Linked DNA regions of Lepisosteus oculatus. The protein of the gene in region 2 interacts with the protein of the main gene of each other region in a pairwise test. Links are inferred from orthologs where the notes say so. Each region holds a gene or a part of one and is shown on either strand. Other genes may lie near its edges.

The links.
Region 1: the proteins of srebf2 (region 2) and sp1 interact in binary tests that used the Homo sapiens proteins (3 or more experiments, as listed by UniProt). The link is inferred for Lepisosteus oculatus from reciprocal best matches to the Homo sapiens genes SREBF2 and SP1.
Region 3: the proteins of srebf2 (region 2) and nfyc interact in binary tests that used the Homo sapiens proteins (3 or more experiments, as listed by UniProt). The link is inferred for Lepisosteus oculatus from reciprocal best matches to the Homo sapiens genes SREBF2 and NFYC.

The regions. Positions count from the first base shown.
Region 1 is NC_090696.1:17,808,189-17,817,614, forward strand, and holds the start of sp1 (transcription factor Sp1), read right to left. Parts: upstream 4,490-9,426; 5' UTR 4,308-4,489; coding exon 4,301-4,307; intron 3,591-4,300; coding exon 3,493-3,590; intron 3,057-3,492; coding exon 1,574-3,056; intron 1-1,573. UniProt on the Homo sapiens protein: Transcription factor that can activate or repress transcription in response to physiological and pathological stimuli.
Region 2 is NC_090707.1:38,960,066-38,970,227, forward strand, and holds the start of srebf2 (sterol regulatory element-binding protein 2), read left to right. Parts: upstream 1-6,421; 5' UTR 6,422-6,642; coding exon 6,643-6,730; intron 6,731-9,295; coding exon 9,296-9,868; intron 9,869-10,162. Other genes in the region: uncharacterized protein, read left to right, coding at 768-789, 2,913-4,669.
Region 3 is NC_090706.1:719,225-729,378, reverse strand, and holds the start of nfyc (nuclear transcription factor Y subunit gamma), read left to right. Parts: upstream 1-6,136; coding exon 6,137-6,155; intron 6,156-7,069; exon of another isoform or gene 7,070-7,176; intron 7,177-10,154. UniProt on the Homo sapiens protein: Component of the sequence-specific heterotrimeric transcription factor (NF-Y) which specifically recognizes a 5'-CCAAT-3' box motif found in the promoters of its target genes.

The DNA.
Region 1 (9,426 bases), on a different chromosome or scaffold from region 2:
GGGGGGCACAAACACAGTAAGGTCCGGTCTGCGCTGGCCACGGACGGGGGAATTTGAAGTGGATCGGCTCCGGAGAGCACACGCCCCAAGGGCATCGCAGTGGGCTCCAGAGCTCAGGTACGAGGGAGATGCATTTTATTTTTTAACAAAGACATCTTTTTTTTTATTGTTGTTGTCGTCATTTTTGTGAGAGGCCGCCTTTAAAGGTGCTATATAAAATCAAGTTTATTATCATCATCATCACCATCTGACTGCTCTTTCCATTTATGACCTATCCTTCCACCCCTCTTCTAACCCGAGGGCTGCGGGGGAACTGGAGTGCATCCCGGCAAGCAACGAGCGCAAGCCATCACAGGGCAGACACAAACACAAACTCACACCCATCTGAGCCACTTTTCCCAGAAGCTAATGAACCTCCCAGTCTGTCTTTGGACTACGGGGGGACACTTCGGGGTTCTCTCCAGGTGCTCCAAATTAAGGAGAATACACACACACACACCCCACACAGATGTGCCCCAGGTGTAGAATTGAACCCTGAGCTCCAGCACTGCGAAGCATCAATACTAACCACTGCGCCACCGAGCTGCGCTCTCAAATGTTGCTGCTGTAAAAGCGAGACATTTATGGGGAACTTACAAGGCTCTTATTATCAGCACTCTAGGGCCGGCCAGGATGAAACTGAAAGGTTTCTGAAAGGTCACAGCATCCAAACATCACATAACAAATGAAAACACAAAAAAATCACCTTTGGAAGAAAATTTAAACCAGTCACTTCCCCTCCCAAGCACTTAACTTGCTTTCTCACTCATGAAGCACTAAAATATACATTTTTGTGCGGCCTTTCCTCTTCCACAATTTCCCCTTGGATACGGCAGGTGTGGATGTGCTGGCACTCCAGATAAACTCAAACCGTGCCAACGGAACCACGATCCGGTATCCGCTGGGCTCTTGCGGTGCACGGTCTACCTCTGCCTGTCCGAACGTGTTTGGGACCAGCCACACCAGGGCCAACCTTCCCAGAAGCCAACTGCCCTACCAGCATGTCTGTGGACTGTGACAGGAAACACATGGAAAAACGAGCTGCAAACAGCACCCCAGGTCTGGATCTGAACCCGGGGCCTCAGCGCTGCTGGGTAGCAAAGCTAACCACTGTGCGGACCAATCCCTCTATTCCCTTCCAGGAAAAGGACCTTCATCTTCTCCAGTCTGATCTACACGGTACACGTATCAGGATAAGGCTGTTTGGTCCACGTGGCTCCTAAGGGCTCTTTAAACGCGAGCAACACCTGCAAACACACATTTCACCTCCTCCTTTTTGGATCAAAGGAACTCGTCCTCCTGCTGAGCTTCTAATTCACAGGTGTATAAAAAACAAAACTCAACAGCAAAGCACGTTAAGACACCCCAGGCTTTTCCAAACCTGCAGGCTGCATCTTATGAGCCTGTCGCAGGGACTGGATGTCCCAAACCAGGTGATTTTACCTTAAAGAAATTTGCATAGACAAACTGGAATTGGGATACGGCTGTGTATTTGCGTGACGGGCTGCGCAGCTGGAGCAGAAAGCTCACTCACCTGCGGGGTTGGCGATGGCGATGGGCAGCTGGTGCATCTGCAGGCCGGCGCTGCTCAGGGTGTTGAGGTTGATGGTCTGCAGGCCGGACAGCTGGGCGGCGTTGACCGTCACGGCGCCGGCGGGGCTCTGCGCCAGCTGGGGCAGGGACTGCACGGGCGCCAGGGTGATGGTCTGGGCGCCGGCGGGGCTCTGCAGCTGCAGCGTCTGCCAGCTGACCTGCCCGTTGGGGCCCACGGTCCGCAGCAGGATGGGGCTGGTGTTGGGGAGGGTCTGGAACTGCAGGTTCTGCAGGCCGTCCTGCGTGGCGAAGACCTGGCCGGTCGGGACGGCGCCCGTGTGGAGGGTCTGGAGGGTGGGGGTGCCCTGCAGGAGCTGCTGGGGCTGGATGATGATCTGTTGCTGCTGCTGCTGCTGTTGCTGTTGTTGTTGTTGTTGTTGCTGCTGCTGCTGCTGCTGGGAGTCCCTGTTATCCTGCGGGCTGCCCTGCAGCTGCACGGCGCCCCCCGAGCTCTGGTACCCCGAGACGAGCCCCCCGTTGCGCTGCTGGGCCTGGACCGTGGTCATCGTGGTGCCGCCAGCCGCGAAGCCGCTGGCGCTGCTGACCGACGGCGCGGAGGTGACGACCGAGCCAGCGCTGGAGAAGTACACCCCCGCCGCGCTGGACACGGCCTGCTGGACCTGCTGCTGCTGCTGCTGCAGGGAGGCGCCCGAACCCGCGTCCCCCGCCCCGCCGGCCGCGGCCTGGCCGCCGGCGCTGACCGGCAGCAGGGTGATGTTGCCGTTGAGAGACAGGGGCACGTTGGCCAGGAAGGAGCCCTGGTTCTGCAGGAGGTTGCTGCCCAGGCCCAGGTTCTGCAGGGGGATGGCCTGCTGGAGCAGGTTGGGCATGGCGATGAGGTTGCCCCCGCCCGCGCCCGCGCCCCCCGCCGCCCGGATGATCTGCTGGCCGCCGCCGGGGGACGAGACCAGCTGGAACTGCCCGGCGGAGTCCTGCTGCATGCTCACCTGGGCAGAGGCACCCGTCGCCGTGGCGAACTGCAGCTGCTGCCCGTCCACGGTCTGGAACTGGGGGATGACCTGGTACTGGATGTTGGGCATCACCCCAGACAGGGTGGTCAGGACCTGCTGGCCCTGCAGGGTGGGCGCAGAGGCCACCACGAACTGCTGCTGCTGCTGCTGCTGGCCGCCCCCGGCACTAGTGGCCACCGCCGGCCTGCCCTTGCCCGCGTCCCCCCCCAGCCCCCCGGCCTGGCTGAGAGTGGTGGCGCCCACGGAGCTGGGCACGCTGACGGGGATGAGCTGCCAGCCGTTGGCCGTGTGGGCGATCTGGGCCGAGTTCAGGTCCAGCTGCTGCTGGTGCTGTTGCTGCTGCTGCTGCTGCTGCGGCGGCGGCTCCGAGCCCGCCTGCTCGCCCTCGCCGGGAGACTCCATCCGGCTGCACGTCGCCGCCAGCAGAGCGAGCGGGGAGGTCTGCTGGGAGTCCTGCAACAGACACCGGGGTGGGTGGGGTTACCACGGCCGGCGAAAAGGGCGGCCCACGCGTACCCACCTCTCCACCCACCCGCGCTCGCTCCCCCCCCTGTCCGTTCCCCCTCCAGCGCCAAGCCTCCAGTGGGCTGTGCGGACCGCTCTGAGAGAGCGGAGCCTGCGACGGGAACACCCCGGCTCCGCACGCCCCGCTTTTCAAAACAAGCATGTGCGCAGGGCGAGAGCGACAACAAACCCGGCCCCCCATCGCCGCCACACACGCAAACACACCACCAGCCTCCCCGGGTCAAGCAACAACGCCGGAGCCGCCGCCGCAGACCGGCCGCGGTCCTCTCCCTCCCCAGAGCACAACAACACAGCTCTTCCCTCGCGCTCTCGCCCCTCGCGGGCCCGACGCGAACGCGGAGACCGGCGAGGAGCCGCCGCTCACCTGCCCCGAGCTCGCGCTCCTCTTCGCGAGGCTCTGAAGGAAAGCGGCGCCGCCGCTCTCGGCCAGGGCAGCCATCTCGTCTCGCGGCTGTTCCTGATCTGAGGGAGAGGGAGGAAAAACACAGCGCGGAAGGGGGTAATACTAGGCAGCCAACGGCGGAATATTAATTGAAAAGAAAAAGAAATCGGGTTTCCTATGTCGAATCCGCAACCGTGCCAAAACGACCACGGAAAAAAAAAAAGTATCGCTCCAACCAAAAAAAAATCGAGAATTGATCCGGGTGTACCTGGGTTTCTTTTTCCTCACATGTTTTAGCGTTTTGTTTTACGCCAGTAAACGCAGTGATCCACGGCCAGAGATTAAAAGCAATGTGGGGGAGATATTCCGAGTGTTATCTGAGATCATATTGTTTTTTTTATTCGTGCTAAATCTGCTCTTTGTTGTTATTTGTCGAAAGGAAAGTAGTAACGATGAACGGCTGTTCTTAAGTGTCCGTTTCGACGAGCTACCCCCCCGTTTAAACTCCTCTTCAGCCTGATCCAATTAAACATCGAACTTTTAGGGTCACCCCAGTCCTCAGTGAAAGTGGAACGACGGAAAACCCAGCTTGTTTAATCTTGAGGCTAAAAAAAACTTTAAAAAAGAACAGTCCTCACGAAACCCAGACCTCTTTCTACTTCAGCGGGTTTTTGTTAGAATACGACTTTATGGTTTTATTCATTATTTTCTAAAGTTGCGGAGCTTTTATATTTCGTTTTCTTTCTTTCTTTAATTTTCGTCTTTAAAACAACGAAAAAAAGTTTCTTACCACTCATTATGTTCTGACGGGAGGAGTTTCTTGGGGTTCTTGAGGGGCTGACATCAACTTAGAGACGGTGCAACCAAACCCCGCGGCGCCACAGCACCGAGGGAAGAGCGAAAGCCCTCTTCGCCAATCAGAGAGCGCCCTGCTACTACGACAGCCAATCGGATTTGTCTGGAGGATGTCTTTACGAGTTCAGTCTGGTTGTGTCGTTGGTCGTGGGTTTGGAATGTGTAGCGAGATGGAAGCGGAATTGTATCCAATCATCACTCTGAATGTCCGCTGAGTTGCCAGTAACATCCAATGGAAATGGAGCTTGGGGGCGGGTATTTGGGTGGGGTCAAGTTGGGTAGGTTGTACCGTTTACGGAACGGCTCAAAGTCTGTACAGGAGGGAGGATTTTCTTTTTGGCGGAAAAGGCGCCATTAGCAAACCGTGCTTGCTGTGGTTCTAGTATTTATGAAGCGGATGTCATCCTTTTCTTCCCTTTTCTAGCGTTTGGAGATTTTTTGGAAATCAGTCACAAATGATATTGCATTACTATATTATTACATTCTTTAAAAAGCGAAAATGGTCTATAACTGTTTTAAATACTGTTATTTTTTTTAAAATACAGTATCAGAAAGCTTTTTTATGCAATAACAAAACGCACCACTGTGGGTTTTTAGATACATGCATGTTGTCCCAGCCATTTTCAGTTCAATTAAGTACCTGGGAGCCCAGCCTCGAGGAAAACCAAAACAACCGGTTCAAATCTATATTTTAAAAGGACAGGCTTTCTAGTCCAGTTAATTAAGTTCATCATCTAACCCAGCTGTTTTCTAAAAAAAAAAAGCCAAGGTTCTTGTTCTGAGTTTGTTCCACTCTCCCGCTGCCCTTTGTGTAATACGAACGTAAGAAAGGAGGCTGATGTTTCGTGTTTCACAGAGCAACTCGCCTGCCTTTGGGCACTCCTCTGAAAGTGCAGACTGGCCATTTAGGAGTTTCACCACTCGCTCGCTGAGTGAAAGTCCACCAGGGGTAGGCAGGCTGGGGTTTAATTGTCCTGTCTGCCCCTCCCTGCCCCGGACACTGCCGAGGGGTAAAGCTCTGTACTGATCCAGCGGGAGTCCCGTCTACGATCCCAGTGAAACCAGCACAATCCAGCAGCACCCCGGCTCCTCTCATTGTGAACTGCGCTGTTGCCCCCTCCACCCTCGCACATACACCTGCAGAACGGAGAGGCAGCCCTGTAACCAGGGTCACGGTCAGCTCACACTGGCTGCTGTTTTATCTGCTGGGAACTCCCGTGTTTAAAAACATACGTGGTAGGTCCGTGTCCATGTAGACCTGCCCAAGGCAACTCGGTGAGCTTCCTCAGCCGACACCGAGAGAGCTACCTGCGAGAGCATTTAGATCTGGGGCTTCTTTACACAAAAGGGGGGTGGGGGTGTGGAACAAGCCACACAAACGATACCCTGACCTTTTAGAAGAAAAGATCCATGAATTACTAACAAACGTTCTAGATGTTCTGAATGGCCTCCTCTCTCTTGTAACCCTTCTTGAGCATGGGTTATGCATTAAGCATGAAGCATGAAGTAACCAGATAATGCCTTAACTCTTGCAGTGAGGACACTGCGGAAAAAGACACCCACTTTTCAGGCTCGTGTGCTACCTGACGGGTGCCAAACGCAACGACGTGATCTGGCCCGCAAATGTCCAAAGACCGTTTTGTCTTGTGCGGCTCCTACGCAGACACACACCTTCAGGAGTGCGTGCGAAACGCGAGCACGGTCCAGCTAGTGTATCACAGCTCGGTGACATCGTGGTCAGAGAGATGTTAAGCGCTGTGACAGCCGAGTCTCCGATACTCGTGCGGGGTTCTCTTTCCTGGGCGGGCGGATTATGAATGAGAGGCAGAGACCTCGCGCTCCTGCGGGCCCCTCCCTGTGCGGCGCTGGAGGGCTGGGAGAGCGGTAGGCGGCCGTGGGGGAGGGGCAGCGCCTGAGCCTGCGAGGGCAGGAGAGGGGGTGGGGTGCTGGAGGGTGTACCCAGAAGCACATGCTTTCCAACATGTAAACAGCGGGCTTTCCGTGGGGTGGAGTTGACGAGCGGGGGGTTTACCGACACAGCCTCCTCTCAGAGCTCTTCGCCAGCGGAGCCACGGTTATCGGGCTTTTATCCGCATGTGTCTTATGGGCTGTTTGTTTTTTATTCCAGTTGTGTTTGAAACGATTATTCTGTAGCCATTGTTCTCTAAACCAGAGGGCGATGGGCTATTTCTCCTCACTGAAGGATTTGCAGTTAAATAACCCCCTCCCCCCACGCCTCTGAGCGTGGTTTCGGTCTGTTGAGTACTGTGGTCGCCAAGTTGTGTAATGGTATTTTTTCCAAGGAATTCAAATCTTAACTCCGACAAACTGTGTGAACGCCACGTTTCTGGCCTGTTAACAGTTGAAAGGAGGCGAGAAAGGCAACAAATTAAAATGATAAGAAAGTATTTTTCCCCCAATGTGATCAAAGCGGTTCAAACTTAAGTTACTGATTGATCTAAATCCCATCAAGCGGAGGTTTGAATTCCAAGCGCCCTGTTAATTGGCGTCTAAGGGCGAGTCGATTGTGTAAAAATGCTGAAGACCTGTTCTGCATTCAACCTAGCTATGGCTTAACGTGGTAAAGGCTGATTTAAACGTAATAATTGGTACTGTCCGATCAAACTGAAGCATGCAGAGAGAAGAATTCATTAAAACTAAGAAATCGGGAACAACACACGTGAGACCTGCGTAGAAGACACTAGAAAAAATATTGAAAGATAGCCTTAGTGGTCTCCCAACAAAATTGGAGATAACCTATTGCATTGGTATATTCCCAAATGTCCAGTCCTGTTCTCTTCAGGGTCAGAACAGAATTTCTGAAGGTTTAAAGTTAGCTAGTTAGGACATCAGTGCTTTATTCCTGGCCGATTGATAATGGTTATAAACACTTCGCTCGCCGACAAGCCGCCTGTTATAAACTAAACAAGAACGCGCTGTGAATCTTATCGGATGTAGCCCCCCCGTCTTTCATTAAGATATGGAGTGAGAACTACCGTTATTCTTGATTTTCCATGTTGTCAAACATGTTATGGCTCTGTGATAATGCTGACGACGAGGCTTTCGATTCGATTTCCAAAATGTGCACGACAAAACCATTATTTTTTTAGAGTTCAACAAGAAGAGACGTGGAAACGACGGTCTGTAAACTTTCTTTTAAGACTAGCGTCTGCTGTCACCGTCTGGACATATGTTGGTATTACACCTCCAGGAGCTCCAGTTGGTACTCGAGTTACGTTGTGCTTAGAAGACAACGAAAATTCTAAATCATACTAATCCTTACGCTTATCTAGCTCTTTTTTTCAACAGAAAGCACTTTACATGTAGTGGGGACTCCCCTCCACCACCACCAATGTGCAGCCCCACCTGGATGATGCGACGGCAGCCATAGTGCGCCAGAACGCTCCCCACACATCGGCTATCAGTGGGGAGGAGAGCAGAGTAATGAAGCCAGTTCAGAGATGGGGATTATTATATATATAATAATAAACTTTATTTTATATAGTGCCTTTAAAGGTGTCTTCTTAAAGCGCTATTAGGAGGCCATGATTGGTAAAGGCCAATGGGAAATTTGGCCAGGATGCCAGGGAAACACCCTTACTGTTTTCAAGAAACGCCCCTGGAGAGTCCCCACGGAGAGTCGGGATCTTGGTTTTACGTCTCATCAGAAAGACGGCGCCTATTTGGATGCTTCACATTGGTGGTGGTGGAGGGGATCCCCATTACTCGTAAAGCGCTTTGAGTGGAGTGTCCGGAAAAGCGCTATATAAGTGTAAGCAATTATTATTATTATTTTACAGTATAGTCTCCCCATCACTATACTGGGGCATTAGGACCCACACAGGTGAGCGCCCCCTGCTGGTCCAACTAACACCTCTTTAAGCAACAGCCTTGTTTTTTCTCAGGAGGTCTTCCCCTCTAGGTACTGACCAGGCTCACATCTGCTGAGCTTCAGTAAGCTGCCAGTTGAGAATTGCAGGGTGATATGGCTGCTGGCGATAACTCAGTAGTAATAATCGAACGGTGGATATCGTGTTGTTTGAGCTAATCACTCATACTAGCAGTCTGCAAATGCAGATGAACAAACAACTATCCTACGATTCTGTAAAACGCCACAAATTGTGATATAACTATTATACAAATAAATTAATAGAACCAAAAATTATAATTAAGAAGATCTATTGGACATAACCTTTTAATTTCGGGAGATGCGTTAGGTTAGACCCCCTCTCTCCGTTTATATCTCGGTTAAAAATGTGAAATTGTTTCCTGTTCTTATATATTGTTCCCCCCCCGTGCAATAAGAAATGTACTTACAAAAGTCATAAAGGAGGATCTATACAGCCTTTTCTTTAAAAAAAAGGCGAACAACAACAGCCGAAACGCCAAGTTGCACCTTGGGAAATTCCCGGGCCAGCGCGAGCGCTGCAGGGCCGGGAGTCGCTCCAAGCCGGGGGTAAAGCTGCACGCGCCGCTGTACCGCTCATCCATCGCGCCGCTCTCTCAGTGAGCCTGCGGTTGAAATGCCGGATCATTTTTCCTTCAGCGCAAACCGAGACGGGATGAGGCGACCCCGTTAATACAACATGATGTTGAGGAAAAAAACATCACGATGCGAGGATGCCCAGAGATAAATTCCACTTTAATAAGCCGAGTGCAGTTATGTGCTTAGGCTCCTTAATCAAAACATTCCTCCCCATGCTGTTTTTATTAACCGGGGATGGAAGAAACGGTCACATAACAGACCAGAGCTCGCCGCCTCGCATAACAGTGAAGTCATCCTGGGTAATATTTCCCTTTATGTTATAAAAGTAGATTAAAAACAAAGCCAGACTCATTAGTAGTTATTAAAGTCTATGCTTACACACAGACGTATCGGGAATCCTGGAGTTTCATTATTTTTCAACCAAACCTCGCGCCGCAGTCTAGCAGGGCCCTCCGGCCAGAACCCATCAGCTCAAAGATCTTAAAACGTGAAATCTGGTGTCAGTGTATCAGAATGATGGCACCAGTGGAGACTTGCGTCAACCATTAGTCTGCTGCTAGATCCGTACGAGCTGG
Region 2 (10,162 bases):
CATAGGACTGTTCCTCATATTTACCTCACCGAAGTGAATCGGGCACATGTTCAGGGTTAGAGTGTCCGTGCTAAATTGCATTGTGGAATATCGGGAATATCTCCTCTTAGGTGGCAGTTACCCAAAGGGCTTTAAAGGTCTCCTAAACTAACATAAGAACCTTCTTTCAAAGCCTGAAGTAACGGGCTTCCTCCTAATGAGGCTGTTAAGAGAGGAATTATGAACAATATTCATGCTGTTTGCCAGAAAAGCTCATCCTGAGACTCTACAGGTCTGGAATGTACAGCAGATGTTGTCCTTGAAAGTACGAATAACATTCTCGGCGATTTTATACTACGGATTTTGTCGTTGCCTCCCCACAATCCAATTGCGTTACTTCTTAGTTTCAAAGCGGACGTGTTTTGATTTAGGAACAGGATAAACGCTGATTCCGGGGCTGAAAAGAGGAGAAAGGAAACACAACGTTTCGGCTTCTTCGGGTGTGTCGGCACCAAATAAACCTCCACCTGTTCCTTTGCCGACGCAGCTGCCTACTTGAACTTCTTCAACGATATTTAACACATACAAGAGCAACATGTCTGCCGGGGGAGGGGGGTCGTGCAATACAGCGAGTGACCACACGGCGGCGCCAAAGCGCTGTACGCCTGGTAGCGGCGGACCGCTGTCTGCGGGGCTGTTGCAGACGGGCTCTGCGGCCGGGGCTCGGAAACACGGCGGAGATCCCCGTTACGGTCTCAGTGAAGCAGCAGAGAGCCGCCGGGGAGGTCATGACGAGCCCTGACGGTTCAGGTGAGAACATCCTTCTGCGGCCGCAGCGAAACCCAGTCAGTCCCGCACGGCGGCTCGCTTTTCAGCACAGAGTGTGTCGCAAGGAAGTACGCGACCTCGGAACACGATTTTACGTGCCTCACCACTAATAAATCTGCGAAACTGTCAAATCGCTCGCCACCGCAGGCAGCGGGGCCGAGGTCGGATTTACACGCCAAGCGGCACAGACGGGTGTCCACACGGTGAGCGCAGTGCATGACGCGAGAGGGCGTGATGTCAGCCCTCGCTGGGGAAAAAAACACCACCTTAAAAACAGCAACAAAAAAGTTATGGTTTCAGGTTTTCAACCCGAGCCGGCGCTGGGGTCCTGTATAAAGGGGTTTGTTCCTGCTCTTAGTTTGGGGGGGAGGCGAAGTTTATAAATAAATACTCTAACAGTGACCTCAGCCCCCCCGTCAGCTGGCCGCGGACCCTCGGAAGACCACCATCCGAGAGGCGTCCCCGAATGTGACCGATAACACAGGACAGCACTCATATACTGTAACTGCGCGAAGACAGCGGTGATGAAGTACCGTTTCCGTCACTTTTGTGGGCATGTCCGGCTGTCGGGCAGTCCGTGGAGGCCACTAAGGTCTCTAACTCCGGAGTCTGAGCGACGTTTCGCTTTTGCTTTTGAACGCGACCTCGGGTCACTAAGCAAGGTCGCAGGACCGGCTGTGTCCCGGCTGCAGTTTCCGCCCCCGCGTCGCTCTACGACTCGGCGTCTCCCCTGCGCGTCAGTTCTCCCAAATTCATCTTCAGCCGGTCCACCTGTGTCCCTGCCCCCCAACACCGGACAACAGCGTTTGCTCAGTAACCGAGAACAGGGCAGCAGCTCTGTAAACCAGGGCTGTCCAGTCTCTCTCCTGGGGGGTCAGTGTGTCTGTGGGCTGTCCAGTCTCTCTACACCAGGGCTGTCCAGTCCTGCTTCTGGGGGGTCAGTGTGTCTGTGGGCTGTCCAGTCTCTCTACACCAGGGCTGTCCAGTCCTGCTCCTGGAGGGTCAGTGTGTCTGTGGGCTGTCCAGTCTCTCTCCTGGGGGGTCAGTGTGTCTGTGGGCTGTCCAGTCTCTCTCCTGGAGGGTCAGTGTGTCTGTGGGCTGTCCAGTCTCTCTCCTGGGGGGTCAGTGTGTCTGTGGGCTGTCCAGTCTCTCTACACCAGGGCTGTCCAGTCTCTCTCCTGGGGGGTCAGTGTGTCTGGGGGCTGTCCAGTCTCTCTACACCAGGGCTGTCCAGTCCTGCTCCTGTGGGGTCAGTGTGTCTGGGGGCTGTCCAGTCTCTCTACACCAGGGCTGTCCAGTCTCTCTCCTGGGGGGTCAGTGTGTCTGTGGGCTGTCCAGTCCTGCTCCTGGGGGGTCAGTGTGTCTGTGGGCTGTCCAGTCTCTCTCCTGGGGGGTCAGTGTGTCTGTGGGCTGTCCAGTCTCTCTACACCAGGGCTGTCCAGTCTCTCTCCTGTGGGGTCAGTGTGTCTGTGTCTGTCCAGTCTCTCTCCTGGAGGGTCAGTGTGTCTGTGGGCTGTCCAGTCTCTCTCCTGTGGGGTCAGTGTGTCTGTGTCTGTCCAGTCTCTCTCCTGGAGGGTCAGTGTGTCTGTGGGCTGTCCAGTCTCTCTCCTGGAGGGTCAGTGTGTCTGTGGGCTGTCCAGTCTCTCTACACCAGGGCTGTCCAGTCCTGCTTCTGGGGGGTCAGTGTGTCTGTGGGCTGTCCAGTCTCTCTACACCAGGGCCGTCCAGTCCTGCTCCTGGGGGGTCAGTGTGTCTGTGGGCTGTCCAGTCCTGCTCCTGGGGGGTCAGTGTGTCTGTGGGCTGTCCAGTCCTGCTCCTGGAGGGTCAGTGTGTCCAGAAGCAGGACTGGCCTCGAGCTGCCTGCACCACTGGAAGGTTGCGGGTGCGACTGGATAGATCTGTCCTGTAGAGGCTACCCCAGGAGGGACTGTGCTCCCACATCTCCGGCTTCCTTCCCAGCCGGGCAGCGTGTGCGGTCAGCGGCGCTCGGACAATATTCCGGGCCTGCCTTTTTGGGGGGATGGCGTGGCGTCGCTGGGGTGACCGGGGAGACAGGAAATCGCTGCGGCCTGAGCCTCACTGCGCGTCTTCCTCCCGTCTTCCAGCCAGGAGGGAGGAGGAGGAGGAGGAGGAGGAAGAGGAAGATCCCGCGGAGCTGCGCCTGGTCCTGCTGGGCAAGACGGGGTCAGGGAAGAGCGCCTCCGGGAACACCATCCTGGGCCGGCGGGCGTTCCGCTCGGAGGCCAGCGCCCGCTCGGTGACGCAGGCGTGCGCCCGGAGCCGGGGGCGGCGGGTGGCGGTGGTGGACACGCCCGGCCTGTGCGACCCCGGCCGGCCCGCGGAGGAGGTGCGGGCCGAGCTGGCCCGCTGCGTGGCGCTGTCGGCGCCGGGGCCGCACGCCTTCCTGCTGGCGGTGCCGGTGGGCCGCTTCGCGGAGGAGGAGGCGCGGGCGGCGCGTCTGGTCGCGGGGCTGTTCGGCGCGCGGGCGGCCGCGCACACACTGCTGCTGTTCACCCGGGGGGACGACCTGGAGGGGCGCGGCGTCGAGGAGTACCTCCGCGAGACGGCCCCCCCGCCCCTGCGGGCGCTGCTGGCCTGGTGCGGCGGCCGCCACCACGTCCTCGACAACAGGGCCCCCGGCGACCGGCGGCAGGTGCAGGGGCTGCTGGGAAAGGTGGAGGCCCTGGTGCGGGAGAACGGGGGCCGCTACTACAGCAGCCGCCTGTTCGAGGAGGCGGAGGCCGCCATCCGGGCGGAGCAGGACAGGATGCTCCGGGAGGGGGGGCGGGAGCCCGCCAGGAAGAGGAAGTGGGGGCGGGGGGCGGGGCCAGAGCCGGGGGGAGGCGGGGCGTTGGGCCGGGCCCCCAGGAGGAGGTTCCGGAGGGACGCGGAGCTGTCGGAGCTGGTTCTGGAGAGGATCCGGGCCCTGGTGGCGGCCGGGGCCGCGGGGGCGGTGGTGGGGGCGCTGTGCGGGGCCGCGGTGCCCCTGGCGGCGGCGGCGGGGGCCGCGGTGATGGGGAACGCCGCCGCCTTCGCGGCCGGGCAGGTGTGCGGGGTCCCGGCGGCCACCGCGGCAGGGAAGGCGGTGGGCGCCCTGGTGGCGGCGGCGGCCGGGAAGACGGCGGTGGCCGCGGGCGCCGCCACGGGGGTGGTGCTGGGGGGCTCAGTGGGGGCCCTGGCGGGGGCTGAGGCGCCGGGGCCTGCGCGGGCGGCAGTGCAGGCAGCAGGGGCGGTGGCGGAGCTGGGGGCAGCCGCAGTGGGCGTGGCGGCCGGGGTCGGGGGCGTGATGGGCGCTGGGGCTGCGCTGGCGGCTGCCAGTGCCGCTGGGGGGGCGCCAGCGCTGGCGGCAGCAGGAGTGGAGCCGGGGGGCGGGGCAGCGGGGCTACCATCAGGGGGTGTGGCCGCCACAGAGGCCACGGGGGCAGTGATGGCAGAAGGGGGAGGGGCAGCGGGGCTGGGGGCGGGGCTACCATCAGGGGGTGTGACCGCCGCACAGGCCACAGGGGCAGTGATGGCAGAAGGGGGAGGGGCAGCGGGGCTGGGGGCGGGGCTACCATCAGGGGGTGTGACCGCCGCACAGGCCACAGGGGCAACGATGGCGGCAGGGGGCGTCCAGGGCGAGACGGGCGCAGCCGGGATGGGGGCCCTGCAGACCGCAGGGGTGGCGGCGAAGATGCTGACCGCCGTGGCGGAGCTGGGCAAGGCGGCGGCGGGCATCGCGCTGGCTGGGGGGCTGACGTTCAGGCTGGTGAAGGAGAGAGTGAGGCCGGGCTCGCAGGCGTCCGACGGCCCCTACACGGAGAGGCAGTCCCTGGAGTTCCACCTGGACAGGAGCGGCCGGCCCGGGCGCGAGGATCAGTGAGAGGGCCGGAGGGTACGAAGCACCTGTCTCTCCACAACACCTCGGCTCCTGCCCCCTCTGCAAGCGCCGGGACTCCGCCTGGTTCCAGTTCGGGCTGATGAAGATCTGCGTCTACAGATTGGGCTTGAACTACAGACACCTGCCCCCTTTCCTCAGCTGTCGTTACAATAGAGCAGCTGCCCTTCAGCCAGCAGCCTGTCCGAGTGCTTTGCTCAGTAGATCTCTTTTTATTTGACTTTTACAAGCTAGTACTACCTTGCAGTGCCTGAACCAGCCTGCTCAGAGATGGCGGTGATTTATAAAAAATCGACACTGTGCCTTAAATTAAAACTTGCATGTTTTGTATCTGGCATTTTAAAGCGTTGGCAGACTTGCAAATAAAAGTATTTCTGGAGCATTCGTGGTGTCTTTCGTGGGCCAAGACTCAATCAGCAGGCCACTGCCCGTTGTCTGTGTTCTCCAGTCTTGAAACAGGACTGTAATACACGCACCAGAGGGGCCCAACAGCCCATCCAGCCTGTGTCCTAGACTGGTAAATGTAAGCTTTTAATTCATCCAGGTGGGGCTGCACATTGGTGGTGGTGGAGGGGATCCCCATTACCTGTAAAGCGCTTTGAGTGGAGTGTCCAGAAAAGCGCTATATAAGTGTAAGCAATTATTATTATTATCATCATCATCATCATCATCATCCCAGGATCTTATCCAGCTGCTTGATCCCCTTTGAAAGAAGCCTGGATATCAGCCTCAGTGCCGTGGCTGGTCAGCTTGTTCCATACTCCCACCCCCCTCTATGTAAAGAAGTGCCTCCCCTTCTCAGTTTTAAATGTGCTTCCAAACTTGCAATCATCTCTGGATCATGTTTCGCTGTTTACGTATGAGCGCTTTTCAGGAAAGTCAAAGAGCTGGACTCCCATGGGTACCGTTCGGCACAGAAACACGACACGCTGCATGTACAGGTGCAGCCAACACTGGGATATTCAAAGTGTCCTGTCTTTTCAATATACTGGTCTAATCCTCTGTCCTCCTTCAGGCTCCTGCGCAGATGTCTTACACACGATCAGAAGTCATACACATGTGCAGTATGTTTCTTAAGACAGCAGCAGCAATTCATTCAAATCTTGCACGGGTGTTGTCTGCGCTAGTGAAGACTGACACAGTGATTAGTACCGCTTAGTTCGGGCGAGAAGACACCAGACCAGTCAGTTCGGCATCTGTAATTCATGCACATCCGAGTCTGGAAACACCAAACTCACATCGGCTCCCGACACGGCTGAACGCCGGTCGTAGGAGCTGCTGACCCGTTGCATTTACCAGTTCAACGAGCTGAAAGAAAACAAGGACTTTTTTTATTTTAAGGTTTAAATGTAGACTAACAGGGCCAGATCATTAAAAGATCCCTGGAGACGGGAAACTATTGACTGGCGGAATGAATTACATAACACAAATAAATAAAAAACCCCGTGGTTAGCCGAATGACAGAACTTAAATATTAAATGTCATTCATGAACAACCGCGGAGGAGTTCCCTCATGCAGAAGGCAGAGCGAGCCGCCCGGAAGCCGCTCATGGAGAATCGGCGCTCGGGCCGCGCCCACCGCCCCGGGGGAGGCGGGGCCAATGCAAAGCAGCCGAAAGCGTCTGATCGCTGACGTACTATCAGACCACGGCGGCCGGAGCCCGCCGATTGGCTGGGGGGGCCTGGTCTCATGACAACAACAGCCGGGGATCCACCAATCGGAATCCCCGCTGGCGGCCTTCCACTGTTTGTAAATGACGTCACCGCGGCAGCCAAGATGGCCACCTAGGGGTTTGTGGATGGTGCTCAGCCCTCTGACAGCTCTCGCGTCCCGGCCGAAGGCGCTCTTGTAGCCCGCCTTGTTCTGTTCGAAAGCGGATCGCACGCTTTGACACCCGCCGGGGACGGTAGACCTAGCCGATCGTGGGGGGGTGTCCCAGCCCCGTCCTGCCCAGACGATGGAGGGAGAGTTCTTGCCGGCGGTCGACAGTATGGACCCGACTCTCTCCGAACTCGGGGATGACTTCTCCCTGGGCTACATCGACGGTGAGTCGGTCTCGCCGAGCCGCCGACCTCCGCAGGAAGACAGAGCCCCGTGTCCGTCCGTCCGTCCGTCCGTCCGTGTGTGCGTAACCTTAACCCGGTACCGGTCCGGTCTGCCACGGATCTGAGCCCCGATGGGTACCGGGCAGTACAGTCCGAGACCGTCTCACCTGAGCGGAGCCCTCTCTCCTGGGCTTGCTTCCAGTTGTGATGAAACACGAATTGTTCTCTCTAGTGAGTGGCTTGGATTATTGCTAATGATCTGGTAGCGCCGGGATGCTCTAATGTGGTGTAGGTGTTATTTTTAGGCGAGTATTTAAGGAGCTGTTTAAAGACCGCTTCCCTGCCTCATTCTGCATCCCGTGTGTGTGTGTGTGTGTGTGTGTAAAGTGTGAAGTTTGTCTTTCGGTGTTGAGCTGTTTGTGTCGTGTGTGTTGTAAGCGTGGAGTTTGTCGAGTCTGTCTGAATTGCTATCCAATGTGAAATTTGTGTTGCGTGTAGGTGTGTGAATCGCGTTTGTTTCGAGTGTGTTTGTAATCATGGAGTTTGTGTTGTGTCTGTGTGAACTGCTGTTTAATATGGAGTTTGAATTGAATGTGAGTGTAGGTGGGGGTTGTGTGTGTGTGAGTGTGGAGTGTATGTTGTGTGAGAACACAGCAGTGCTGTGCTCAGTGATGGGGTGAGCAGTGTGCAGTGTTCAGGCCCAGTGTGTGTGTGTTGTGTGTGAACACAGGGAGATTGCTGTGACTCGAGAGCAGTGCTGTGCTCAGTGATGGGGTGAGCAGTGTGCAGTGTTCAGGCCCAGTGTGTGAGTGTTGTGTGTGAACACAGGGAGATTGCTGTGACTCGAGAGCAGTGCTGTGCTCAGTGATGGGGTGAGCAGTGTGCAGTGTTCAGGCCCAGTGTGTGAGTGTTGTGTGTGAACACAGGGAGATTGCTGTGACTCGAGAGCAGTGCTGTGCTCAGTGATGGGGTGAGCAGTGTGCAGTGTTCAGGCCCAGTGTGTGTGTGTGTGTGTTGTGTGTGAACACAGGGAGATTGCTGTGACTCGAGAGCAGTGCTGTGCTCAGTGATGGGGTGAGCAGTGTGCAGTGTTCAGGCCCAGTGTGTGAGTGTTGTGTGTGAACACAGGGAGATTGCTGTGACTCGAGAGCAGTGCTGTGCTCAGTGATGGGGTGAGCAGTGAGCAGTGTCCAGGCCCAGCGCCTGCTCATCAGCGTGTGTCCTGCCGGAGACAGTCGGGGCGCCGTGCTGGGCTGCACTCAGATGTTTCTGTGAACACGTAGCTGCATTCCAGCCGTGCAGCGAACAGGCTGGGCAGCGTCATCAGCGCTTGTCCACTCTCGGACGTCCGCATCAGTGAGCGGACATCGCCCGGGATTGAACCGGTCTGCTGCACGGATCCCATCGGTCCCACCTGTGTGTCTGTGTCTTTCTCTCTCCGCGCACTGCGCCGCCTTGCTGGGTGTCAGTGAAGCCGCTTCCTGGAGGTCATATTAAATCCACAGACATGAAATGCAAAACTGAACTGCATTGCAAACCTGCACAGCCACATCCAGCTGAAGGACCCCTGGGCTCATGATGACCAGTACGAAGCCTCGCGGGAGGGAGAGCAGACCCAGCCCTCCTCTCTGCGAGGTCACTCAGCTGTCAGTGGCCCGCGGAGGTGGCGGGTTTGACAATCACACCTACGTCTGCCTGGGGGTAAAACCCGGACTGGCCTCCCGGATGGGCGCCAGGATTCGGGTACTGTGACGTGGGCTCCTGGGGGAGAGGAGGGGGTGGAGGCTGGCCCTGACCGTGCAGCGCTGTTTGAATCTGTGCCAGTGAGGCCTGTTGCAGCCCGGGCTGTGTTGACCTGCTGGGGACCCTGCTGTCCCAGTGTTGCCTCAGAACCTGCTGATGCTTCTTGTCCGTCTCTGATATCAGCCCCCGTGTTCTGATCTGAAGCTCTTGGCTGTCTGTGGCCTGTACCTGTCACACATTTGAGCCGTTTCATCGCCTGAAGCTCATTTCAGGTTGTTCAGGTCTCGCACAAACCCTAAGAACTGTCAGCCTGCAGGGTGAGCTGTGACCTCTGACCCTGTGCTGTAGGGTGTCGGTGAAGGTTGCTGTGAGCTGTGACCTCTGATCCTTTGCTGTTGGGTGTCTGTGAGAATTGCTGTGACCCCTGATCCTTTGCTGTTGGGTGTCTGTGAGAATTGCTGTGATCTCTGACCCTGTACTGTAGGGTGTCTGTGAAGAGCTCAGTGAGCTGTGACCTCTGACCCTGTGCTGTAGGGTGATTGTGAGAATTGCTGTGACCTCTGACCCTGTGCTGTAGGGTGTCTGTGAAGAGCTCAGTGAGCTGTGACCTCTGACCCTGTGCTCAGTTCTGCAGGACAGACGACCTGCTGGGGTGCCGCAGCTCCATGCGATACGCGACAGGGTGGCCTGTTTCAGGCCTCCTCCGAGCAGCGAGCAGATGACCAAGTCGGTTCTTGACGCGGAGCTGTGGGGCTCCAGACACGTCGTGACGCACTGACCCGCCGCCCTCCTCACCTCTCTGTGTCCCCTCTCTCTCCGCAGAGATGCTCCAGTTCGTGAGTAACCAGGTGGGCGATTTCTCTGACCTGTTCGAGGACCAGCTGGGCGGCAGCCTGCAGACTGGGGGTTCGGGGGTTCCTTACCAGCAGCAGCAGCCCCCACCACAGCAGCAGCCCCCCGGCACCAACCCCACCCCCCAGCCCAGCCCGGTCTATCAGGGCGGGCCGGCGGTGCCCCTGTCCCAGCTGCCCCCCTCCCTGCACCAGTCCCTCCCTCTCACGCCTCCCCAGACCCCCGTGCAGGCTGTCCAGCAGGGCTCCCCGCCTCTGACTGTGGCCCCGGCCCCGGCCCCGGCCCCGCTCCGCAGCGCCCCCTTGCTGCAGCCCAGGCCGCAGCAGGTGCAGGCGCCGCCGCCGCCCATCGCGGTGTCGGTCCAGACCCAGACCCTGACCGTGCAGACCCAGTCGGTCCCCATCTACACCCAGGGGCTCCCCGTGCAGACGCAGGCTCCCACCCAGACCGTGATGTTCACCCCCACTCTGACCAGCTCGTCCCAGTCGCGGATCGTCCAGCACCCCGTCATCTACCACCAGAGCCCCATGAGTGGATTCCAAGGTGAGGACTCGGCTCGGCTCGGCTCGGCTCGGCCTCGCGTGCCCTCCTTGCTCCTGGGGCGCCCCCTGCTGGCGGTGTCGCTGTCCTTCGCTCGGTGCGCTGGGCACAGGCATCGTCCTCTTCAGGCAGACAAGTCCAGTGTGAACGAAACAGCGCTGTGGGGGTCCCGATGCCCCAGTATACTGTCCTTCAGATGAGACGTCAAACCGAGGTCCTGACTCTCTGTGGTCATTCACAATCCCAGGGCGTTCCTCGACAAGAGTAGGGGTGTAACCCCGGTGTCCTGGCCAAATC
Region 3 (10,154 bases), on a different chromosome or scaffold from region 2:
CACAGAGCACCAAATATGGGACTTTCACGCAAAATATTCTCTCTTGACTCTACAAAGCAAATTCTATAGCGCTTGTCTTTGATTGTGACAGAACTCTCCCAGCCCTTACAATGCGGTATCTCTGGAGTTCATCAGGACAGGGCTGTTGGATGTGGCCTTCAACCAATTTTTTCAAGGCCTGGGAATAAAAATCAAATCAAAGCCGGTACTGGGTGAAGGGAGAGGTCAGGATCTCAGGGCGATGTCTGCAGGAACTGAGCAAGAATGAAAGCTGAATGAGGTGGAAATCTAACAGAAACAGAGATAATGAGCTCTGAAATCAGGCATGGAGTAAGGGAGAGGTGTGTGTGTGTTAGTGTAGGGGAGGGGTGTGTGTGTGTTAGTGTAGGGGAGGGGTGTGTGTGTTAGTGTAGGGGAGGGGTGTGTGTGTGTTAGTGTAGGGGAGAGGAGTGTGTGTTAGTGTAGGGGAGAGAGGTGTGTGTGTGTGTTAGTGTAGGGGAGGGGTGTGTGTGTATTAGTGTAGGGGAGAGGGGTGTGTGTTAGTGTAAGGGAGAGGGGTGTGTGTTAGTGTAGAGGAGAGGTTTGTGTGTTAGTGTAGGGGAGGGGTGTGTGTTAGTGTAGGAGAGAGGGTTGTGTGTGTGTTAGTGTAGGGGAGGGGTTTGTGTGTTAGTTAAGAGGAGAGGTGTGTGTGTGTTAGTGTAGAGGAGAGGGGTGTGTGTGTTAGTGTAGGGGAGGGGTGTGTGTGTTAGTTAAGAGGAGAGGTGTGTGTGTGTGTTAGTGTAGAGGAGAGGTGTGTGTGTGTGTTAGTGTAGGGGAGGGGTGTGTGTGTGTGTTAGTGTAGAGGAGAGGTGTGTGTGTGTGTTAGTGTACGGGAAGGGTGTGTGTGTGTGTTAGTGTAGAGGAGAGAGGTGTGTGTGTGTTAGGGTAGGGGAGGGGTGTGTGTGTGTTAGTGTAGGGGAGGGGTGTGTGTGTTAGTGTAGGGGAGGGGTGTGTGTGTGTGTTAGTGTAGGGGAGAGGGGTGTGTGTGTGTTAGTGTAGGGGAGGGGTGTGTGTGTTAGTGTAGGGGAGGGGTGTGTGTGTGTTAGTGTAGGGGAGAGGGGTGTGTGTGTGTTAGTGTAGGGGAGGGGTGTGTGTGTGTGTTAGTGTAGGGGAGAGGGGTGTGTGTGTGTTAGTGTAGGGGAGGGGTGTGTGTGTGTTAGTGTAGGGGAGAGGGGTGTGTGTGTTTTAGTGTAGGGGAGGGGTGTGTGTGTTAGTGTAGGGGAGAGGGGTGTGTGTGTGTTAGTGTAGGGGAGGGGTGTGTGTGTGTTAGTGTAGGAGAGAGGGTTGTGTGTGTGTTAGGGTAGGGGAGGGGTGTGTTTGTGTTAGGGTCTGCAGACAGACCTCTCTCTCCTCTCTCCCCTCTCTGAGGAAGACAGTGTAACTGCTTCTCAGTCTCCTCATCACACTGGGCAGCAGACAAAGGAGGAAACGGACTTCAAAATGAACTGTAGGACAATTTCAAACCAAACTGGGCAGAATTGTAAAGGAATCTCCTGAGCCCTTAGAGCACAGCGCCAGAGAGAGCAGAGTCACACGCCCGGGGTGGGGTGGACTGCCGTCCTTTTCAAAGGACCAGTACAGTTCAGCACAGAACCATTTCTTCTGAGCTGATCTGCTCTGTGGAATAAAGACATGAGGCTTTCTTGACTCACTGAAACGCTGGTCAGAGGAAAGCAGACACCTGATTGCAAAACAGTCGTATTGTCGTATTTTATAACCGGGGGAGGTTGTGGTATTTATTTGCAAGAGCGTTAATTTTATTTATTTGCTTGCGCGCTCATCTTTGCTGTGGTGTAATGAATGCATCGGGAGGTGCGCATTCCCAGTACAGCCATTTCCCCGCCCGCAGGAGTGAATTTCTGGGAGCAACAGTTGCTCCGCCATTAGACAGCAGGTTGAATTAACGACCCGATCGTGCAGCTCAGCCCCCAGCGCTCGCGGGGGCACCTGGGCTCCCGAGATCCCGGCACGCGGGAGGGGAGACGGAGCAAGACGGAGCCGGCAATACCAATGAGGAGCTCGAGCCAGACCCGGCACCCGGGACCCCGAGAGGGATCTCGCGTTCGAAACAGCCCCAGGGGGCACAGCGCCCCGCTACGCGCAGCCCGTCCGGAGAGCCCCGGTTTAGAGACCTTCACCAGTGAAAGAAGCAGTGCGGACCCTTGTCCTTTTAAGACGCTCTTTAATCTTTACAAAATCCAGTCCTAGCATCTCCACCGGTAGCATCGCCATCCCCGTTTCTCTTACTGGTAGAAACCCGGTGCCCGTGAGCCCAGACACTTACCGAACCGCCGCGCTGGGCACGCAGTGAGGCGCAGGAGCGCTTAGACTGGAGTGCGCCCGGACTGCTCCGCTGGAAATGCCATCGTCTTGCGTCCGTCTCTCCCCCGGCTCGGTCCTGCTCTGCTGCGTCTCCTCCGCCTGCCTCCACGCTGACAGTGTGTGACGGGGAGCGCGAGAGAGCGCCTCCACGAGCGGGCGGGACCGACCGACTGCTGAGGAGGAGGAGGAGGAGGCAGGGCGCGCGCGGCCGGCGCGAGGCAGCGCCTTTCCCTGCTCACTCGTCTCCATGGTTACCTGCCTGACCCATATAACCCAGCGGAGCGCCGGTACCGGGTGGGACGGGCGCCGGCGCCTTCATGTGCAGTAACGCGCTAGCGGCCGGTCCGGCGGGGTCCGAGCCCTCTGGCCCCGGCTGTCCTGTCCCTCACCCGCTCCCCGCCCTGTCGCCCCCACGATGGAAATGTCCCCCTGCTCTGCGCTGCGTGTCGGAACCCGTCTGCGTGTGTCTGAGCGCAGCGATGTGCTGCACCGGAGCCGAGACCGGGGTCGGGGCTCCTCCCGGCTGCACACCCGGGGCACAGCTGCGGGCGGTCCGAGCGCCAGAGCGGCCGGGTCTGTCCGTCCCCCTTGCGCCGCAGAAAGCACTTTATCGGGGGAATCACATCACACATTCAGGCTGAAGGATCTCGTCCCAGTGGGTTAGCTGACGAGCTTTTTTTTTCATAAGGAGCGCATGTTGTGTGTATGTTGGTGCCACCGTCACCTGAGAGGTGTGTGTCCCCGACCAGGGCAAGGTTTTCCAGGACCAGCGCCTGGGGGCTCTGGGAGAGAGAGCTCCTGAGCGCAGTGGTGTTCAGGACTGAACCCGCAGACACAGTCTCCTGACCGCTGGTGCTGCAGCTGCAGCAGAGACGCGCCCAGGCTCCGGAGAGTCCTGGAGTCTGCTGCTGTTCGGTGGTGTATCTCTGCCCCTGGAGGGCTGGCCTGTCTGTAGGTTCTCCCACCTCTTAATGACCTGTGTCAATAATGAATGACTCTCGGCTGAGGTGGACCAGTGTTCCAGCTGCTCCCATCTCATGGGCCTCTGGAGGTTTCAAGAGACCCAGGAGACACTCGGTACCCCCCAGAACCCCAGAAGACACATAGGGTACCCCAGGAACCCCGGGAGACACACCCCACCAAGAACCGCGAGAGATCCCCCCCCTTCCAGGAACCCCAGGAGACACTCGGTGCCCCAGGAACCCCAGGGATGGCTGCAGTGCGGGCATCTCTGCCAATCAGATACTCTGGTGCCTTCCAGTGTTCCTCTTTCACGGGGAAGATGAGGGCTTCGCCTCGTCAGCACACATTCCTGTGTAATAACTGCACAGAAATGTAATAGATGCAATTGTGACCCCAGGAACGCAGCAGTCCTGTCGAACCAGGAAGACGGAGCCGTCTTTGTGACAAGATGCTAAAGTGACTCAGAAGAGCCGCAGGTACGCCCTCGTCTTGACCCCTGTAGCGATTTACAGGCTCCTCGCTGCTTTATGATCTATAAATAATCTCTTCAGCGCACAGCAGCTCCTGTAAAAATGTGCCAAAGCGCTGAATCTGAGGACCAGTGCAGACTCCAGAGAGTGCTCCGAGCGAGACGCCTGGGGCTCCCTCACCGTACCCCACAGTCTTGATTGCAAGACAGACGTTGTTCTGTTTCAGTCTTCAGGGAGTCTCACTCTGTCCCCCAGCTGGAAGGAGGAGCTAGCTGAAGAACTGGGCTCTGTCACTAGAGCCTCCGGACCCTGTGGGTCCCCTGTCCGAGCGCCCCAGGGCCTGACAGAGGAGGGGCGCGCCTCTCTCGGATGCCGTCCACCATAGCCTAGGGACTCGGGGCCACGGTTGTCCAAAGACTGGGGTGGGGTCCCAGTACCCCGCGGTCCAGTGCGTTCACCCGCCGTGGCACGGAGAGAGGTGGCAGAGGGTCCTGGGACTGCTGGGGTCTGCAGGGCAGGTGATGGGAGCGGACAGGAAGAGGAGGCTGGTCTGGGGTTCAGGGGGAAGGAGACGGAGACGCCCCGCTCGTTAGGAGAGACACGCGAGCCCAGAGTGTAAGAAACCAGCAGCGAGCGAGCGCTCCCTCCAGACTCACACGGCCCAAAGCTTGCACCCTCCGCGACCTCCGGCCTCCCAGTGTTGTGTGTGTGAATGTGTACGTATGTGTTGTGTGTCTTGTGTGTATGTTGTGTGTGTGTTGTGTATGTGTGTGTTGTGTGTGTTGTCTGTGTGTTGTGTGTACATGTGTGTGTTGTTACACCTGGCTCGGGCCATCGGGGGTTCAGCAAGGTGGCAGCAAAACTCAACCCCACTCCTGCCAGTCTCGTTAAACACCGGCCCTCCTTAGTGGAGGTTTCAGAAAGTGCTGGCAGGCTTTTCATTCGGAAGCAAAGAGGGAGAGGAGAGGAGAGCAGAAGAGGATGAGGATGACACGCCTGCATGTTTGAAAGTCTTGAGATCCTTTGATCAGGGCACCACTCAAGCACAAGACAGGGTCCATCTGATGCACTTCTGTTCCTGGAGTGAGTTTTTTTTCCAAGCCTGCTGAATTTCTTAATCATTTTCATTTGATTTTTTTGTTTTTCAAGGATGTTGATGACAACCAGGGGATCTATAAATAGCGGTCAGCCAGAGAGCGAGGGCGACGGCTCGCTAATTAGTTCCAGAACCCATTCATATAGCAGAGTGACAGTCTGGTGAAGTCCATTCTGAGGAGGGGGCCTGGGGCCTGGCTGAGCGAGCAGAGCTCTTCAGACCCACCCCTGCGGAGAGGAGAAGCACAGGCTGTACAGACACCCACATGGGGACACGTACACACACACGTACACACAAATACACACACGTACACACACGTACACACACACGTACACACAAATACACACACGTATACACACAGGTATACACACACGTACACACACACGTACACACACATATACACACAAATACACACACGTACACACACATATACACACAAATACACACACAGGTACACACACAGGTACACACACAGGTATACACACACGTACACACACAAATACACACAAATACACACACGTATACACACGTACACACACAGGTATACACATGTACACACACAAATACACACACTTACACACACACAGGTATACACACACATAAACACACGTACACACACAGGTATACACACACATACACTCACGTACACACACGCACACTCGGAGACGGTGTTTGTGTGCCTGCACTGACACCGACACGCGTGCTCGGAGACGGTGCGTCTTAATGAACTGAGCCGCCATGGCTGGGATGACATTTCTGCAGCGCAGCACCAGGCACAAACTGAGCAGACAGGCATCGGTGCAGCCTCAGCAGGCCACCGTGCAGGGCCTGATGTACACGCTCATTCAGAAGGGTGGTGTTTGACTCACGAGTCAAAGAAGGACAATGGGTAAAATGAACTTAGATAAGATAAGATCACTTTATTGGCCATGTACAATTTCTTGTATGAGGAATCTGTCTTTTCTCATACCCCAGCTTGCTCTCCATGAGACACACAGACAGGGAGAGAAGCTGGGGGTCAGAGTGCAGGGTCAGCCAATGGAGTAGGATTCCTCTGCTGGCTGCGGGATACAAACTGGCAACCTTCCAGCAGCAGGTGCAGTGGAGGGCCACTGGACGCTTAATGACCTGATTGGGATCAGTTGCTCCCTTAATAGGTTAATGACCATTGTTTCCAGCTCTGCATCCAGTGAGGATTATAAATTACCAGTGAAACCTAATATACTGCAGGCCTTCAGGACCAGAAATGAATTTTGCTGCTTTAGGTATTTTTATACTGTTCTGTTTTTGAGATACAGTAGGTGGTCATTCAAAATGTAAAAACACAATTGCGTGTGTCTTTCTACTGAGATTGTAGGTATTTTGCTTTAAGCTGCAGGTGATCCTGCTAGATGTGTGTGTTGTAGCCCAAGAAGAGCTCTTTCAGCCTGCTGGCTGTGCAGAGGGGAACGGGTGATGTTCCTGACGAGGAGCCCCTGACAACGAGTCAATTAGACCTGACTGGGAGCTGTGCTGGATCAGCAGCTACAGCACTTCACACCAGCTGCTCCAGCGCAGTTTACCTCCAGTCGCTGATTGTGATCGATGTGAATTAAAGAAGCTATTTGACAAGGGAAGATGACTTTTCACTCAAACTATCTCTTCAATGAGGTTGGGTTTCTACACAATTGACAGGCAGCAACAATAGGCTGAACCAGGTTAACTGTTTTGTGTCTCACCTGAAGGAGATTGAATAATATATTTGAGGCTGCCCGTATCCTGCGGTGATAGTGCTTTGGTTTACATGTTCTCAGTGTCTGTCCTACTACACCGGACAGGATCGTTTTGTTTTAGCGTTGCAGCGCCGCCTAGTGTTGAATATCGAGCAAAACATTTCAAATCTCCTAATTTCGAGTGGTACGATAGTACTGGAAAATGATGAAATTGCTAGCTTTTTAAGAAGGCATATTAAAACGACATATCAATCTCACAATTTGAATAAGTTGCTATCTTTTTTGTGAAATAGAATTCTGTTTTTACGTACAAAACGTTAGGGTAACAGCAATGGCGGCGTTTATCCTGTTGTGCCGTAACCCATCATGGCGGCTGCCTTCAGGCTTTCTCTCACGTGACGGCTATTCGCAGGTCTGATTGGTTAACTCCAACGGGGTCGTGCCCAGCTTCCGCTCGAGGGGAGAAGTCGTCAGAGCGCTCGCTGCGCGGCCATCTTGTTTCCCATCGCCGTTAAAATAAAATAAATAATAGGCAGAGCTGGACTTCAGCGCGAAATTCTGAAAAAAGCAGCCGGTGAGTAGGACAGTGGCACTGATTATGGTTGTTTTCGAGAAAGATGAATGGGTTTCTGGGGTTGTGGGATTTATTGCGGGGGTTATTTGAAGCGCCGAGACACTCTCCGCTGTTGTTGATTGTTTCTCAGATGAACAGAGGCGCCATTTCCCTCCGCGCTCTCTGAGGCGCTTATTGGTGGCAACGCTTTACGGAGCGGATAGGCATTGGTGAAACTGCGTCACTGTGCCCGCCATTTTGGCTCCGGGGTGCGCTTCTCTGGCACGGAGTGGCCTTTTCCATGGCGGAGCCGGAATGACGTCCGTTTCACAGGCGCCTCAACCCTAGAAACCTTGATTGGTGGAATCGGGTCCGAGGTTTGATTGGTCTGAGGGACATATCCAAACTTAATCTTTATTGGTTAGAGCCGCTTTCCACAGGTTTTGCGAGCGTTTTTAGGGAAAGTCGCCTTTGGTAGCCGACCGGCGCGTTTTTTGCGCGGCTCTGGTGCCGGGGGTCCCTCGTCGCTTGTCCCTTTCCCCCGCCGGGGCGTCCTCGCCTGCCGCGGGCAAAGAGCTTCACAAAACCCACACGCCCGGTGCAGGTTCGGGAAGTCTGAGACGGGCCGGGACGCGCAGGCCCGGCTGAGCTGGCGATCGAGTCGGCCGTGACCCCGTCCAGCCGAGCCGGGCGCTTTTCTGCCGCTCAGCGGTGTCGGGCGATGGGTGACCAGATCTGTAGAAATTGATTCCTGCCGCCTGTCCTCCCCTGCGCCTGGAGGATGCAGATCTTCCCCGCCGCCCGTTTCCCCGGACAGTGACGTAGCGCCCGGTCCCGGCGTGTGGTCATCTCTGTCCGGCGCGTCCCACCCGGGCGCTCCTGGTGCGGCCTGGCGCCGGCACACCTCGGGGTGCTGCTGACAGATGGAGACTGCCTCAGCGTGGGGCTCGTCTCCCACAATCCACAAAGCATGAGCCTGGTCCGGCCGGCTCCCCCGCAGGCATGAGCCGTGCTGCTCCTGTCGCTCCCCCGGCCCTGTGCTGGCTGGGAACACGCAGCACAAGGCCTTTCCTCCGAGACGGAGAGGATCGGCACAGGCGGCAGAGCACAGTGTTTCTGCGGCGTCTGAAAACGCACCGAGAGGGCATTCTGTCCAAACGTGGGCCGTCCAGTGCCACAGCTGTGCAGGCAGCGATGATGTGTTAGAATACAGTGTGATCCACAGGAGGAAGCGTCAGGCTGATTGTGATTTTCTCGCCAGTGTGCTCGCAGCCTGGGGTCTTTGGCGGGCTGATATGTGGAGTTGTGTGGAGTCTGCCTGTCCGACCCTGTGTGGTTTCTGCTGCTGGCTTGTTTCTGGTCTTCGCTGGGGTGCAGCCTGGCGGGCGCCCCACTTCTCTCCCTCCTGCTGCTGCTGTGCTCGAGCTCCACTTTCCCTGCTCTTCCCCCGACGGGCTTGAGGTGGGAGCCAGGAAAAGTGAACCTGTTTTTTAAAGAAAAACATCTGCGGTGCCGCCCTCCTTTGTCAGCCTTATAAAGAGAAAAGAGCGAAAAAAGTTAATTGTGGTTTTCTTGCCCGTGGGTACCAGTTGGGAAGCCATCTGTTTCTGCTCACTGTAGCAAGGGGTCAGGCGAGGGCTCTGCTGTCGCCACTGTTTTGGCGCAGCGAAGAGAGACTCTGTCTGCAGCAGAAGGAGCCGTCACGCACTTTCTGCAGGGTCTGCGTCTCAAAGACGGGCCCCTGTGGGTGTTTCCGCCCTCCTCGTGGGGTGCGGCGCTGTGAGTTCGCCGCGGGAGACCAGACACGAGACCGGGCAGAGCTGGGCTGCAGGGGCACACGTGCTCGCGCGCGGCGTCGGCCGAGGTCAGCTCGTGGCGTCCTCGGCTTGCCACGCGGGTGCAGCCATGGGGAGCGAGAGCCGTGTCGCGCCCTGTCGGTGGCTGGCCGGCCGGCCCTCTGGGCACCCATGAGCTCGGGCAAGGGTACGCCGAGGTCCAGTGTCCACCATCCTCTTGGCCCTCCTGCTGCCCGCTGAGCTGAACCGAGGCTGGTACAGGAGAGACAACGGCATTGGCGAGTGCATTTCGCTCCACAATGAAAGTTCAATTTCCACAGTTGTGATGTGAACTGGAGGTTTTAAACACACAGCAGGTGACATTTCCAGGCACGCGCAGCACCATGTTCTGCGATTCAGGAGGAGGCAATGAAGTGTCCCGTGACGTGATGCGGCCTTATGAAATTGTAAAGAAGCAGGCCTTAGACCAAACGTATTGCTCTTGACTTCAAAACCGTTTGGATAACAAATAATCCTTTTATTAACTCTGCATGCAGATGACGTTGGAACATTTCTGCAGTGGAATGTCTGCTGCATGAGCTGTACGTATTTGCTCGTATATTGTGTTACATTAGTCATATTCGTCATTACAGCAGCCAGCGTCTCGGTTCTCACAAACTCTCCTCTTGCCCTGACAGGACCTACAGTCCTTTTGCCAAGTTCACAATTTTGTGCTTAATTCTGAGTTTGTAAAATTTTGTGATACCATCAATTAATTTATTTTGTTACGGAGATTTAATAACCGGCCTGAGAAATTGAGACTGCAGCTCCTCTTTAACTGTGTTTGTGCTGCCTTATTAATGCGAGTGCTGTGGGGTAGCAGGTCACTCGACCTCTGTGTGATCTCTGCACGATAGCAGAGGGGTAGAGTTGTAAAGTTTTATAAGCAGGCTGGTTATCTTAGTCTGCCACTCTTGAAGGTTTGTAAAGTTTTATGGACTGTAATGCTTTTTGTTAGGGCAGAAAGGAGACCAGAGCTTGCAGTGATTTATTGTGTTTCTGTTATATGTGTGTTTGGTGGAGCTGACGTTCCTGTATCGCTCTGCAGAAGGTATTTCAGGCTCAGGTCAGGTCATGTGATTGCGTAAGTGCCTGCGCAGGAGCCGCTCCTCGCTGTACTCCCAGAGCTCGCTGGTCAAGGCACGGCCTCCTCTCGATGAGGCC